2 linked regions of the Caenorhabditis elegans genome follow. The gene in region 1 interacts genetically with each later gene. Each region holds a gene or a part of one and is shown in the gene's direction. Other genes may lie near its edges.

Region 1 (7,213 bases):
TTTTCACGTCTTCTTTTTTTGTAAAATACAAAAGGGCGTGCGCCTTTAAAGAGTACTGTAATTTCAAATTGAATTGAAACTTACATCTCAAACTCGAGTGGTTTAGCTTGTTCTAGAACATCGGATGCCATGTGACAGTTAGTCAATCGCATTGTAGCTCTCATGATTTTATCGTCAAATGAAGATAGTGGGATAAGCTGGTTTCGGCAGATCATATCAACCCATTTTGAAGGATCTTTACCCAATAAAAGTTTCGGAACCGATCGCTTCTTCTCTGGATTGTAATAGGGCATCGATGTCCCACGAATGACTAGAGCATCGGACGGAATAATTCCAGACGAACGCCGATTGCTGAAATCATTTTTAAGACGAGATAGATATCAGAATTCCCCTCGTACAACACATATAATTCGTGGTTCGTGTATTATACGGTGGACGTACAATAAATGTATTATTCACATAATATAATGGACGAAGTTCTTAAAATTCGTGCAATGCAATGTGAATAACATATTTATTGTACGTCCAATGTATAATATACGTACCACGAACTATTTGTGAAGGTGAAGGGTCGACCGATTGCCAACCTCGAATATGGTCTATAAGCAGCTTCCAACTCTTCTTTGCTTGTCACATGAGTTCGCATGTGCTTTTTCATGTTTCCTTTCAATCGGAACTGTTTTCCACAAAATGGACACACATAAGGGGTATAGCCGGTGTGAACGGTACGATGCTCGAACATATTCGATTTGTATCGGAATCCTCGGCCACAAACATCGCAGATGTATGGTTTGGTGTCGGTATGAATCACAGAGTGCTGTTGGAGACCTGAAATGTTTTTTTTTATTTCAGCTTTCTATTTTTATGCGAATAACCTTTATAATTCATAAACATTTTATTACACACATTACACTGATGAACAGCAAACGGGGCGACTTCTTCTTGTTGATAGGTTCCGAACTAGAAACATTTCAATAATCTTAAAAATAAGAATCGAAATAAAATACCGTTATAGAAGCTTCGTAGTCCTCGCCGTCGTAAGATGGATCCGTTCGGTCATCAATAATTGACATCTGAAGTAAAAAATAAAATTTTTTGAAGAAAAAATGCAGACAATTTGTTGGTTTAAACATAAAATTAAGACAAACAAAACTCATAAATTAATTGACAGCTTCTCTAAATTTTAGGATTACCGTGTTTGACAGTTTCGTGGTGAGACCCAAAAGTTTCGTTGCGTCATGCGCCTTTGAGCACAGTGTCCCCAACAAAGAATTGTTTCTGCAATTTCGAATTAAGCTGAAAACATTATTTATATATTTAACAAAATTAGTTTAGAACAGAAGAACAGAAAATTAGAACATTTTCGATCTTTGTATTTTTTATACAAATATAATTTGAATAAATTTCCATACTTCTTCCCCGTTGTGTAATTTCTTTACTTTTCAGAACTTAAAACATTCAATTATTCTTTATTTTGAATTTTCTGTAAAACCTGCGCAATTGAATTTTATGTATTTATCAAAACAATTTTCAGCCATGCTACAGTAACTTCTTTAAAATCATCATTCTTCCTTGTCTAAATCGGAAATCTGTCTGTGTCCCGTTGGTCTATTTTGTTATTCGTCTGCAGTTTCTTCTACTTGTGCACTATATCGTTTCCACTGAGCGAGAGAAAGAGTATACACACACAACACATGCCAGTTCCTGTCCTTTGCCGCCCATCACCATTTTTTTCACCGTTTCGGCTCTGAAATGGACAATTCGTCACAGAGCAAACCGTCTAGTAGTTCGTCCAGTCATTCGCCAAGTCCTGCCGCAATTGTAAGTTTAATGGATTTTGAGTAAAGAAAAATAACGTTTTCTTGTAAAAACAGTATTGTATTTAATTTTTAAAAAAATCAGTTGAAGACGTATAAAGCCTGCTTTTACCAAAACTATCAATAAAAATCACTGAAAACTCAATAAATTAATAAATTCAGACACCAACACAACGAACAACACGAGATTCCGGATTGTGCTCAACAATTGATATTCCCGAAATTCAAGCACAATGTATTGATAATTTAAATAGTCATTATCTCGGAAAAGGCACTTATGGATTGGTTGAGAAAACAAGATATAGAAAAACTAGGCAGGATGACTTTAGGTTCGTTTCTAGCTTCAAAAATTTAAATTTAATTCTTTTAAAGCATGAGGAATTATCAAAAGTTAACAAAAAATCAATAAAATCACCAAAATATTATTTTCAGGCCAGCAGCAATCAAATATTCTTCTCAACTTCATATGGCAACTCTTATAAGAGAAGCAAAAGTTATGTGGGATCTCAGAAATCATCCTAATATTATAAAGTATGTTTTTATAAATGGAAAATACTGAAAATAGAAGTTTTTCAGAATTTATGGACTGTACAAAAGCCCTCGGAATGGGCAAGGAGTCGTTATGGAATATATGGATTGTGGAAGCATGGCCGATTGTGAGATTTTCATTTAAATTTAGTGAAAATCCCCGATTTCGCCAAATTTTTTAACATTTTGTCGGTTTATTCCGTGTTTCTTAGCGAATTAAACTACATTTTTTCGGCAATAGGAACAGAAATTTCTATCAGCTAAAAATATATTAAAATACATCAAAAAAGCGGATTATACTGCAAAATATGGAAGAAACTGAATAAAAATCAATATATGGACGCTGTAACACGAAAAATCTGGCAAAAAAAATTTCACTATAATTTTGAACAAAAAAAATGCTATTTGGTTTTTTTTTTCCATTTTTAGTCTTAAAAAAATCGCTTTAAATTCTCCAAACCCTGTTTTTTACGAAATTAAAAATTCATTTCAATGAGGCAATTCTCCAAAATAAAATTTAGCTGAAAAATCTATTTTTTTTTCAGTACTCTACGACAGAACACACATTAATTATACAATTGATCATGTGGCTTCATGGATGTTTCAACTATCATCCGCCGTCGATTTTTTCCATTCCAACAGCCAAGTTCACAGAGATTTGAAACTTCAAAAGTGAGTTTTTGATAGCAGAAATTATTGAAAGAAATATATATGTTGGATGTGAAGATGTTTTCAGTGATTTTTGAAAATTAACAGAAAAATATTGAAATTTTTTTCTTTACTATTAGCTAATATATTAGGTAAATTTTTTAAAAGTTGAAAGAATTAATGGCGGAGATCCTGTCAATTTAACAATTTAGATTTTAGAAAAATTCAACAAAATCTTTTGAAATTTTAAGTGAATTTAGTACAGAAAAGCAGAAATGTTTCGAATCCATTTTTAGACATTCGAAAAATTAATTTTAAAGGGTTCTACATTTTTGTGTGAGCTATTTTTTTTATTTTTTTAAGCAAAAAGTTCCTTGAAAATTGGTCCACAAAATAATGTGTAAAATCTAAAAAAAATCATTTTTAAAAAATAATATTTCAAAGTGGATTTAAAAATATCCTCCAAGAAGAACTAATCATATGAAAATAATTTTAAAAAGCCATTTTAAAAGTAAAAATGAGGAATTTCTTAATTTTTGTAGCTTTTCAAATTTCAATAAATTATCAGAAATCTTTAGCGGTCAGTTTTCAAAATTAAAATTAAATCACCTACTGTGGTCAATCAAAATAATTTCAGCATGCTTCTCTCTGATCGATATCGAACAATGAAATTATGTGATTTTGGAACATTTACCTCAATGCATCAATCAATGACTTCAAATCGTGGAACTCCAATCACAATGGCTCCAGAAGTATTTCGATGTGAACAGTATAATATGAAATCTGACATCTACAGTATTGGAATTATAATGTGGCAAATTATTGCTAGAAATCATCCGTATCGAAGAGATCTCTCAGTTCCTGGACTTTTATATAATGTTGCGACAGCTAACTTACGTCCACAAGAACTCGAATGTAATCCTATTTTGTCTGAATTTTATAAGAAATGTTGGAATGATAATGCTGATATTCGACCGACTTCTTCCGAATGTGTAGAATATTTTACTCTTCTAAAAGATGTAAGTTCTTTTAAAAAATTAAAAATTAAATACTCAACCAGTTAAAAACAATTTTTTTGAATTGAACAAATATTTCTAAAAATACAAAATTAAAATTTTTGGACAATCTCGAAAGAAGGTGCTGCAAAGCAAATTAAATTTTTTGTTTTCGAATTTTTTATTGCGAAGAAATTAAAGTATTTATTGAATTTATTTTAAAGTTTTTAAATTTTAAAAATTGTGTTATTCCAACACAATTTTTAATTTTATCTGAGAATTACTGTATTCGTGATAAGACCTGCTTTTCTATGAAACATATGAATCTCGCCAAACTCCAAAAAAACTAATTTTTTTTGCATTAAAGGAATATCCGAATGGGAGCGTACCTTTATCGGATTCTTCAACAAATGGACCAGCAGAAACTCCTCCACCACATGCTCATCGACCAACAATGCTTGGAACTTCTTCTGGAAGTGGAATAGGATCAAATAATCGAACACCAACTGCTTCAAAACTTTTAAATCCTCAACAACCTGGACAGGGTCATAGAAGAAATCGTAGTGAGACTTTTGTAGTGCAACCGGTAAGATTTTCATTTGGATAGCTTGAAAAACAGAAAATTGAAATTTTAGGATCTACCGTATCCAACGGTTCCGGGTGAAGCTGGTGCATCTAGAATACCAAAATCTCAAAGTGAAGCTAAAAATTTTCGGGATAGAGCCAAAAGCGAGCAAAGGTAGGAATTAATGGAAATGGAGATGAGGACTGTCCTGTTTTTGGGGTTTTTCGGATAAGAAACTAAATATCTAAAGACATGCAAATTTAGACTAGAATAATTGAAAAAAACATTTTCGATTATTTTTCAGACGAAATTAAAAAAAATTGAAAAAATTGTTGTCTTTCTATTTTCTCGCAAAAACCGAAAAAAACGTTTAGAAAATTAACTAAAGGATTAAATGTTTAAAAACTTGTTTTTATGAAAAAAACAAAGAAAGCATGTAATTTTCTTTATAGAAAAGAAAAATTACCAAAATTTGAAGCTATTTTTCAAACATCGATTTTTCAATTTTTTCAGAGAAAGTCAAAAAATTTAAAAACGAACATTGTTTGATTTTTCTGAAATTCTAATAATAGAAAAAACGAAAAAAAGTGTAATAAATATCAATTTAAAAAATGAAACTATTAATTTATCAAAAAATTCATATTTCGATGAGAAAATACGAAAATTGCTTTTAAAAATAGAAATATGACCGAAAAGTATTTAAAATTTGGCATTTTCCAAAAATAAAATAATTTTTTTAAATTTTAGCTTCTTTGGTTCTTAGAGAAATTAAAAAACTAACACTTTGATGGGTATTTCTACAAAAGTAGACATTTATTTTTTCCATTGACGTGGTGTATTATGAAATATCTCTTTTTTTCAGGCAACCACATAGAGACGCACGTCCTCCTCCTCCTTTTGAGCACCGAAGAGATAGCAACGATGAGGAAAAACATGCCGTTTTTATGAATATTTGTTCGAATGAGGAGACTAGAGTAATCCTTCGATGAGATTTGAATTAAATATAATAACATTCAATTTTTCAGCCTATTGATCCTGATACTCGTGACGAAAAATCTTTGGAAATCTTTCATCAACACTGTGATAATAATAAACAATATGCAGATGCTTGGGTCATTAAAAAAGAAGTTATGAGAGCTAAGTTAGTTGAAATTGCTATGTTTCAATGTAAAAAATTTGTTTTAAGATAAAAAGCATTTCTGGAAAAGAGGAAAAATTCAAATTTTGTATCATTGCATTTTCCGAAAAAAAAATCGAAAAAGTGTTTAGATTTTAATTTACGAAAATATCAGCTTTTCATCAAATTGTGTTAAGTTTGTGAAAAAAAAACAATTAAACATGTCATTTTCATTTGATAAAATAAAAAATTATCAAAATAAAAAACTAGTTTAAATATCAAAAAATCTAAATTTTTTGAAAATATCTAAATATTGAATAACAAAAATTACATATTTTTCGATTTTTTATTTCAAATCGAAAAAGCGAAATAATTTTTTTCTAAAACAAAAAGTGCAATTTCAAGTGTTTTTTTTTGAAAAATTATAATTTTAAAAAGTTTTAAGTAACAAAAATTATGGATTATTTATTTTCCAAAATAACGGTGAAAATTTTAAATATCCTGACCGAAATTTTGCTTAAATCAAATTCAAGTCCAATTGAAAAATACAATTAAAAATTTCAGACATGAGCTAATTGCCCAATGGCCTCAACACGATCACACGGTAGAACTTCTTGAACGGAAATATTATCTGGAACAAGAAATTGCAAGATATCGGGACATCCAAGATGATAATTACTTTTCAACTGAAAGAATGTGAACTCATTTCACTTTTTTTAAAAACATTCTTAGATGTATACTCATCTCTAAATAACTTTTATCTATATACTCACTTCTTGTTCAATTTGAATTCTGATCACTTCCTGTCAACTTTCTCTTTCAGTCCCTCTTTTCCTGTCAAACTTCTCTCTCCTCTTTAAAACGCTGGTCGCTGCCGTCTGTCCTTCCGAAGTTCTAAATGTAATTGTTATTATCTATAGATTTGTGTATTTAGTGTCTAGATATCATTACATGACTGTCGATTTTATGACAAGAAAACGTTTTGTGGAATTATCTATCTACACATCCAACATCTGAACGTATCACCCATGCCAACGTGCATATAAAGAGTGATACGAACGGCAGTGAAGAGACAGTCTACTGAAATGGGTTACGGTACCAATGTGGCTTCTGGTGTTACTGTCATTTGTGCAGCTTTTCTTATTCCAATGCTAACATGTACTATTTCTTTATTTTATGAAGTTGCACAAATGCACATGAGTGCAATGGATGGAATGGATGAATTCAAGGTGAGAGGCTAATTGCAGATAGTAGGCTTAAGCTTATGTTTAAGCTTCACCAGAAGATGCAAATATTTTTAGTATTTAAAAAACATTGATTGACTTATTGCTAAATGATTATCATAGTCTCGAAGCGACAAAAAATGTTTAAGTAAGTCTGCGAAAAAAATGGTTGTGCGCCTTAAAAAAGTACAGTATTTTTCACTACCCTTTAATTTGCAACTAATCTCAATATTTTCCATAAACGTAAACATATGAAAACTATACAGCAAAATGAATGAAAATTAATGTACTCTTTAAAGGTGAAAACTCTTTTTTCTTAG
Region 2 (7,617 bases), 1.8 Mb from region 1:
TTGGAAGCCATATATGAACATTATAATTACCCATATTGTGCAGGGTATATGTTCACATAATATAAAAGGCCTGTTCAGTTCAAAAAGTATACTCCAAAATCATTGGAAAGTCATTTTATGAATGAAAACTGTCGTATCTCATCACTCAAATTTTCACACCTCGTTAGTTACAGTTCTATTCATTCCGGTAACCCTATTGTGTTGGGACATAAGATTCCTGATGGGACCACAAAAAAGTGGTGGCGTGTTTGCTACCCAACACAAATACCCTTGACTAGAGAAAGGGACTACGCAATCGTCGCGCAATCTGCCCCTTTCTCAACAGCAACAACCAAATTGGCTTGTTGAGAGGAAAAACAGTAGGTGGGATTACACACACTTTCTCTATCTGCCTAATATCTCTGTATCCTTTTCTGCTATTTTTTCGGCGCGAAATTTGAATTTGAATATCATAATTTCGTGGCAAGATCTAACTCCATTTTAAAGGTAGACGATTATTTTATCGGTGGGTCTCGCCAAGATCTCCGGAATTTTTATTGTGACCGAACCCAAATTTCATGATTTTTCAAAAATAATTTTAAGTGAATGTATAATAATGAATAGAAAAAGTCTGAATGTTCAGAACCTAGTCGGGTCGACTGAATTTTTGGAAAACATTTAGCGAACGTACATCACCCAAATTGTTAAAATAAACAGAGAAACATTCTATTCGTACCTATTCAGCCTAAATCAACCATTACATCCGTCTCCCAGTTTTTCCATTCCCACCTTCTAAATTGTATCATATATATATATATATATAAAATCTCACCTATATGTTGAGTACTCTGTCCATTGCTATCGCACATCTTCACCTCTTCATTATAGACATTAAATAGTTTCTGCTCTAACTCGCCTTCTTCAATACGACAGTTCGACGAGCTAGATGTAGAAGATGTTGAAGGACTCGAAGTAGATGTAGTAGTTGCCATTCAACGCAAATACACAAAATGAACTATTCTCTTGTCTTTTTTCTTCTTAGTTTTACCCCCGTTCAAACGCCTCCTTCCGATTCATCTTGTTGGTTGCAAACCATTTTTACCTTTCGTGCGCCGGTTTTGGAACTGCGGAACACGTAGTGTACTGTGTGGCGCCCTCCCTGTATAGTTATACACTCGACACTGCATATTTACATTGCGTTTCTTCGGTTTTCTGAAGGTCAAACCGATTGACTTCATCTCTGTTTCTTCTTTTTTTTTCAACCGAGGGGTTCGTGGCTGGCCTTCGAGTACTTTTGAACCATGGACAGCATAGTTTTCCATGTTGTTTTTACGGCCTTGAAAATTGAAGAATAGCAGCAAAAACGGTCACCTCTCGCATTGTAAACACCTGTTCTTTCGAATCAAAATGGGAATAAAACCACGAAGGAGTTTAATTAAAAGTGCTATTCAAGCTGGAACAAGAAATATTTTCGGTCCAAAAAATTGAAATCATTCAGAAAACCAACAATATAACAAGAAAAATTTAGGTTTTGAGTTTGTTTTGAAAGCTTAACAATTTTTTGTTTTCAAATATTAATTTGTTAAAAGAGTGATTTTTAACAATTATTATTTATTGGAATACATTGATGTACCTTTTCTATTTCTTATATATTCTCTTCAAATATATCAAAGATCATTCAAAATAATAAAATTAAATTTCAGATGAGCTCTAGTAGTAGTGATGAAAATGAAACAACGATACACAGAACAGGATCAAATACCGGTGGAAGTGGAATCTACTCACAACCTCGAGCAGGATCATCAAAAAGAACATCGAATGTGCGACATGATGTTAGTGATGTAGATGATGAAGAAGAGCATTATGCAAGATTTCGCGAAGATACGGTAAGGATTGTTGGAAAAAACAGATTTTCGATGTTGGTAAAAGGCCAAGTTTTGACTTTTTGAGGAATTTGAGCAATTTTTGTACCTGTACAATGGTCTTCTAAGTAAAAAAAATCGGAGCGTAAAAAATTAGAATATAAAAGTATTTTTTAAGCTTTTTAACTATTTTTTCTGAAAATACAATATTTAAAAGTTTAATTACAGGCGATCGAGGTTGACGATGCTATAACAGTTCTTCTTTCATCTCTACATTTCGAACACAAACGTGATATTGTTCCGACCGATGAAGATGATAATAAACTTCGAGAACTTCACGAAAAGATTTTTGCATTGATAACGAGTGAATCTGATGTTAACAGGTAAATCCGAAATTTTCAGAATATTTTTCAAAAAATCGTTTAATTTTAGAAAAAGACGGCTGAAAAAAGCTCTTCCTGCGTCAAACTGTGTTAGAGAACAAGTATATTATCTTCGAAGGAAACCATCAACACCACCAGCTTCTTATTATCATCGACTAAATGCAGCTCTTCACACAATCGTTAAGGAATCATTTGGAGAAGAATATCGAAAAGTTGCTACAGTATTAGGACTTGTTGAAGCGCTTGCAGAAGTTTTAATTCTTGAAGTTCACACATTTGGAATCAATGAGACCAATCCTGGAGAGCATCGAAATATTCGAAAACTTATTGCCAATGCTCTTACGAATTTAACATACGGTCAAATTCACTCTAAACGCCGGCTATGCTCATATGATGGATTCATTCGATGCGTTGTTCGAATTGTGATCGAATCTCCAAATATAACTCAAGTATACGCTGGACTAATCAGAAATCTCTCATGGAACGCCGATTCAGGAATGAGTGAAGCTCTTCAACCAACAGTTCATGCACTTTCAATTGCTGCAGTACATGCACATACACATAGATTCGATGTTACAGCAACATTATCTGCTTTGTGGAATCTTGCTGGTCACTCAGTAGAGAATAAACGAACTATTTGTGATACTCCGAATTGTTTAAAAGTATTAGCCAGCCTTCTATCTCCTGATGCAAGATTCACGTCACTTGTTGATTCAGCTACTGGAATTCTGAAGTATGTATCACAATATCTCGCGAATACTTCCACGCATTTAGAGGTTAGTTTTTGATTTGTTTTTGTTGAAAAATGCAAGTGAGGTTTCAAAGTTATCTTTTTTTTTCATAAATAGAAAGAAAAAAATCGAAAAAAATTTCATGGCGAGTCAAAATTTTGCAAAAAAAAATCCAAATCTTGCTAAATCTTTCGTCAACTTGCGCTTGTTTCCAATTTTGGACATTTCTGAATATCGACTTAAAATGTGCCTAAATAAATTAACGAGAGATAAAAGTCAGAAAAATATGCCACAAAAAGTGATTTCTTCAACAGGGATTTTAAAAGAAAATTTTGGAAAAATTTTACCCTTTTTTTCACCTTTTTGTAAATTTTTTGAGAAGTAAGTAGGTTTTTTTTTTGAGAAATTACGAAATTCGATGGTTTTGTGTCAGTTGAAGTTTTTAGGCAAAAGAACCCACAAACACTTCCCTTTTGCACATAAAATTGATCAAACTGAACAAATATCATTATTTCAATTAATCCAATAAAATTTCAGCTAAGAAGCTTGCTCATCACTCGAATGCTCACTTTGCTCAAGAGTGCCTCGTTCACTTGTGTTACAAATACTCTAGGAGCTATTGCAAACCTAATTGTCAAAGATCCCCACATGCAGCAAATGATTCGGCAGGATATGGCTGCAGTACAGCAACTCAACGTACTCCGAAACTCGAATCGTGATGATATTCGGACAGCAGTGAAGTCTGTGCTGAATACTCTTAATCAACCGTGTAGTCATCGTTATGGTGATATGTCACATTCTGTTGGAGGAGGAGCCACAGGGATGCAAATGCTTTCGGAGCCACAACTTCAGATGCAAACATCTCATCATGCTTATCATGGAACTGCGTCACCAAGATTACTATCACTGAGAGCAACTCGAGCATCACCTGGAAAATATATACAACCACAGGCTCAACAACAGTTGATACAGACTCCACAAGTTGATCAAAGATCTAGTAGTCTGCCAAGACATTTTGCCGTTCAACGAAATGGATTTGTGATGGCACAGTCCTACAATCAACAAATGGATCAACATCAGCAACAACAAATGATCTATCAATTGCAGCAACAACAACAAATTATGGTAACGATTTTCCAGCGTTTTTTTCTGTAATTTTCTCTTAGTTTCAGACGGAGGATCAAGCGCAAATGGAACATCATCAACAAATCATGTACCTTCAGCAGCAACAACAACAATTTCATCAAATTCAACAACAGCAACAAATGCAAAAAGCTCAGGAAGCTGATCCAGTTCCTCCTACGGATGACGATCTAGATATTCCCACATCTACCGTAATGGGAACACGAAGTAACAGTGAAAGAAGTCTCGGCTCGATGAATCCTGGAAGTGTTATGACAAACTGGAATTCTTCTCTGGATACTGCAGCCAACAGTTCTCGTGCTCTTTCTCCTGTATCATACAATGATATTCCAGCTTCTCCAACAATGTGTGCTCAGGTGTTCAATTTACCTAAATCCACTGAATCGGAACATCATCAATTGACGTCTCAACAGCAGAACACTACACATTATAGCAGTGGATCAGCTAACACTATGACTCGGAGTGATGGTGCAACTACTGTGCCAATGGATAACATTATTACACCAACTTATGCTATTTTGAATCCAATATTGGTACACGAACAGACACCGAACGGGACAGTTCCACGAAAGACTTCAGAAGAGTTGGATAGTCCTGATGATGTTCTCCCAGGTCCATCTCTTGAGGAGGAAGAAGGTGATTATGCTATAATAGGAGGTGCCGCACAAAAGACAGATGACGAGCTTTTGACTCGTTCTATTCAATCTGAAATGCCTACTTCGTCGTCTACTCCGAAGATGAAAGTCTCGCCTCGCCTTAATGGATTCTTCTCTCCAACTCAGAAAACAACATCGTCTCCTGCATGGTCTCATCCAGATACCTCACCGATTCCAAAGTCATCTTCTCATCGAACTCAACCTAATCGTCGTCAAGATGCTTCTGATGCAGATCGTCTTTTAATGGAATCAATAATGTCAGAGATGCCAAAAAGTCGAATTATATCTCCACGACTTGCTGGTACACAACAATATCTTGAACCCGAGCCAGAGAGAAGAAGTCATTCAAAAAACGAGGAAGCCGATCGCCGCGACGCATTCACCGCATCGCATGAGCCCAGCGATCATAACGGCATTGATGTGGCAAGAGGCTCAGACTGGTCTCCACAACAACAATTACATCGAATGGAGTCATTGGAAAGCCAAGCTAGTAGTGAAGATAGTTTTGGATTAACTGCTGAAGAACCAAATTCATCAACTTCTGGTGCTGCTGCAAACACTATGAGATTTGACGATGAGATCGATGCATCTCTTCCAATGGATTGTGTCGATGATGATGATTACGACTATACTTATGATCATTTCGAAGATTATGAAGATGAGGAGGATCCTGATGCGACTCAGTTTGATGATGGAGTTGATGCACAACTAACTATCGATTGTTCAATGATTTCTAGTGGAAGCGGTTCATCGCAAAGAAATGAAACTACGACAACGTCACGAGATTCAAAAGCTTTAGCTACTTCCACACCAAAAGGATCTGCATCTTCACTCCCAGGAGTTCGACAAGCCACCCGAGTATCAACGAATGGAAAGTCAAGACTGCCTGTTCCAAAAACGAATGGATCACTTGTTGATAAGGTATTTATTCTATTAAAAAACTCTGATTTTATAGAATTAAACAATGTCTCATGAAAATTGAAAATCGAAAAAAACGAGAGAAAATTCAAAAAATTAATCACAAAATTCAATTGTATATTGATGAAAAAAAATATTTAAAAAAAACATAACTTTTGCCTAAAAATAGTAATATGACCAATATTTGAGATTTTTTCGAAAACCCGAAATTGTTTTTCAATATATCGGGAAAAAAAAAACGAAAATGTTCGATTTTAGAAAAAAATCCAAACTTGAACCAACAAAAAATGAAAACTGGTAAAAACTCGGCATTTGGCTCTAGCTTCTTGCCCAAGTTTAGACAGCTTCTGATCCAAGTTAATTTTTTTTTGTTTTATTAACGTAAATGAGTACAGTAGAAAAACAAACTTTAAAAAATATATCAGAGATATTTAACTTTTGAAAAAAAAAACACTAAAAACCATAAATAAACCCACATTTTGTTAAAGAATATTTGTAAAATATGGAAAAATAGAAAGTGAGTTTTTTATTAATTTTTTTTTAGCAAAAAAAAATCAAAAAATGCCGAGCCCTGCTCCCAATTTTTTTAAATTAACTTTGATAAAATCAAAGACCAACTGAATTCTAAACGTTTCAAATTAGATTTTCAAACCTCGCTTTTTTGCAGAATCCCAAGCCAATCATCGCTTCCCGGCGGCCACGATTGCCACCGAAGCCGACACTTTTAAAAGATAAGCACTATCCAGAAGAGGATTCGATTGAGAATCAGACGAGAGATGATACGATATATGTGAATGCTCCAGTTGTTGAGGCAGAACAAGAACGAATTTATATGAATGCATTGAAGCAACAGAAGAACATTGAGCAATCACCGTCAATTGGAAACGGATCACCTATAGCTAAATCTGCAATTGTAACGCCCTACAATTATCAGAAACCGCCTTTCACTGTAAGAAAATAATTACTTTTTTTTAAAAAGTACAGTATCAATTCAAACATGAAGAAATATTCTTTAAAATAAACATTTTCAGGGTCGAAATAATGGTGAAATGAGCAACGAGAAGAGTGTGACACCGAATCCTAAACAAATGCTTGTAACAATAGTCTAATGATCCGCTCATATACCGAACCTTGTTCTTTGTATCCCCGTCATCTCTAGTCGTTCCCAGTTTCTAGTCGAGTGTTCTCATCTTCTTATTCTACCTCGAACTTTTATATTATTGTCTAATGGACCCTGTAATCATATTTCTAGCGCTGGCAATATACTATGTTTTCCAATTTTCTGTAAAATGTGATTTGGTTCTTGTTCTTGTTTCCATTACCTGACCGCTCAATACATAGCTGTTAATATGTTTCATTCAATTTGTAATACGAGTTCTTTCAACCTCACTCTGCTCCATTGTTTTCTCATCTTTTTTGAATCATAAATATTGTATATATTTATTAGTGTGAAGAAGTATTTGTTTTATTAGAAATCGGCAGGAATGGGAGAAAAAAAAACACGAGAGAATCAGTTATATTATGCAAACTTTCAAAGAAACCATTATCTTCAATATAGTTCTTCTCTGGATATGTTACGAAGTGAATGACGATTCTTATGAGTGAGGAAGGCAGTCAGTGCGTAGAAAATTCCCAGGATGAATGTTAGGAACTGAAAAATTAGGTTCATAGGTTTTTTGAGAGTTTTTTGTTGAGGAAAAATCCAGAAGAAAAGGAGCTAGTGGTGGATAGTTTATCTCTTTGTAACTTTTTTGATTTTCGAGTTAAGAATAAATTGTTACCCAGACGTGAATTTTGCGATTTTTGCGCCAAAAGTACGGTATCTGGTCTCGACACGACGAATTTTTTGTGAAATACAAAAGGTGTGCTATTGTAATTTCAAAATTTATATCGATTTTTATAGCTTTTCGTTAAAGACATATTCGTTTATCAAAAAAAACTATAA

The links. A genetic interaction does not mean that the proteins touch.
Region 2: of mom-4 (region 1) and apr-1, changing one enhances a phenotype caused by changing the other (phenotypic enhancement), as found in Caenorhabditis elegans (one study listed by BioGRID).

What each region holds. Positions count from the first base shown.
Region 1 is NC_003279.8:9,895,139-9,902,351, reverse strand, and holds mom-4 (Mitogen-activated protein kinase kinase kinase mom-4), read left to right. Parts: upstream 1-1,534; 5' UTR 1,535-1,752; coding exon 1,753-1,821; intron 1,822-1,979; coding exon 1,980-2,146; intron 2,147-2,249; coding exon 2,250-2,348; intron 2,349-2,393; coding exon 2,394-2,473; intron 2,474-2,890; coding exon 2,891-3,017; intron 3,018-3,630; coding exon 3,631-4,012; intron 4,013-4,355; coding exon 4,356-4,574; intron 4,575-4,623; coding exon 4,624-4,727; intron 4,728-5,415; coding exon 5,416-5,527; intron 5,528-5,578; coding exon 5,579-5,694; intron 5,695-6,234; coding exon 6,235-6,370; 3' UTR 6,371-6,674; downstream 6,675-7,213. Other genes in the region: lsl-1 (C2H2-type domain-containing protein), read right to left, coding at 85-351, 588-828, 876-960, 1,008-1,073; col-64 (Nematode cuticle collagen N-terminal domain-containing protein), read left to right, coding at 6,756-6,899. UniProt on the Caenorhabditis elegans protein: Part of the Wnt signaling pathway essential for the specification of the mesodermal cell fate in early embryos. Stimulates the wrm-1/lit-1-dependent phosphorylation of pop-1 and plays a role in the initial nuclear accumulation of wrm-1.
Region 2 is NC_003279.8:8,048,361-8,055,977, forward strand, and holds apr-1 (Adenomatous polyposis coli protein-related protein 1), read left to right. Parts: upstream 1-1,682; coding exon 1,683-1,865; intron 1,866-2,069; coding exon 2,070-2,224; intron 2,225-2,273; coding exon 2,274-3,000; intron 3,001-3,492; coding exon 3,493-4,080; intron 4,081-4,121; coding exon 4,122-5,675; intron 5,676-6,339; coding exon 6,340-6,621; intron 6,622-6,703; coding exon 6,704-6,781; 3' UTR 6,782-7,108; downstream 7,109-7,617. Other genes in the region: K04G2.7 (HTH CENPB-type domain-containing protein), read right to left, coding at 812-971; K04G2.9 (MARVEL domain-containing protein), read right to left, coding at 7,222-7,323. UniProt on the Caenorhabditis elegans protein: Has a role in endoderm cell specification and pharyngeal development. Required for the migration of epithelial cells, organization of the anterior seam cells and ceh-13 expression during embryo morphogenesis.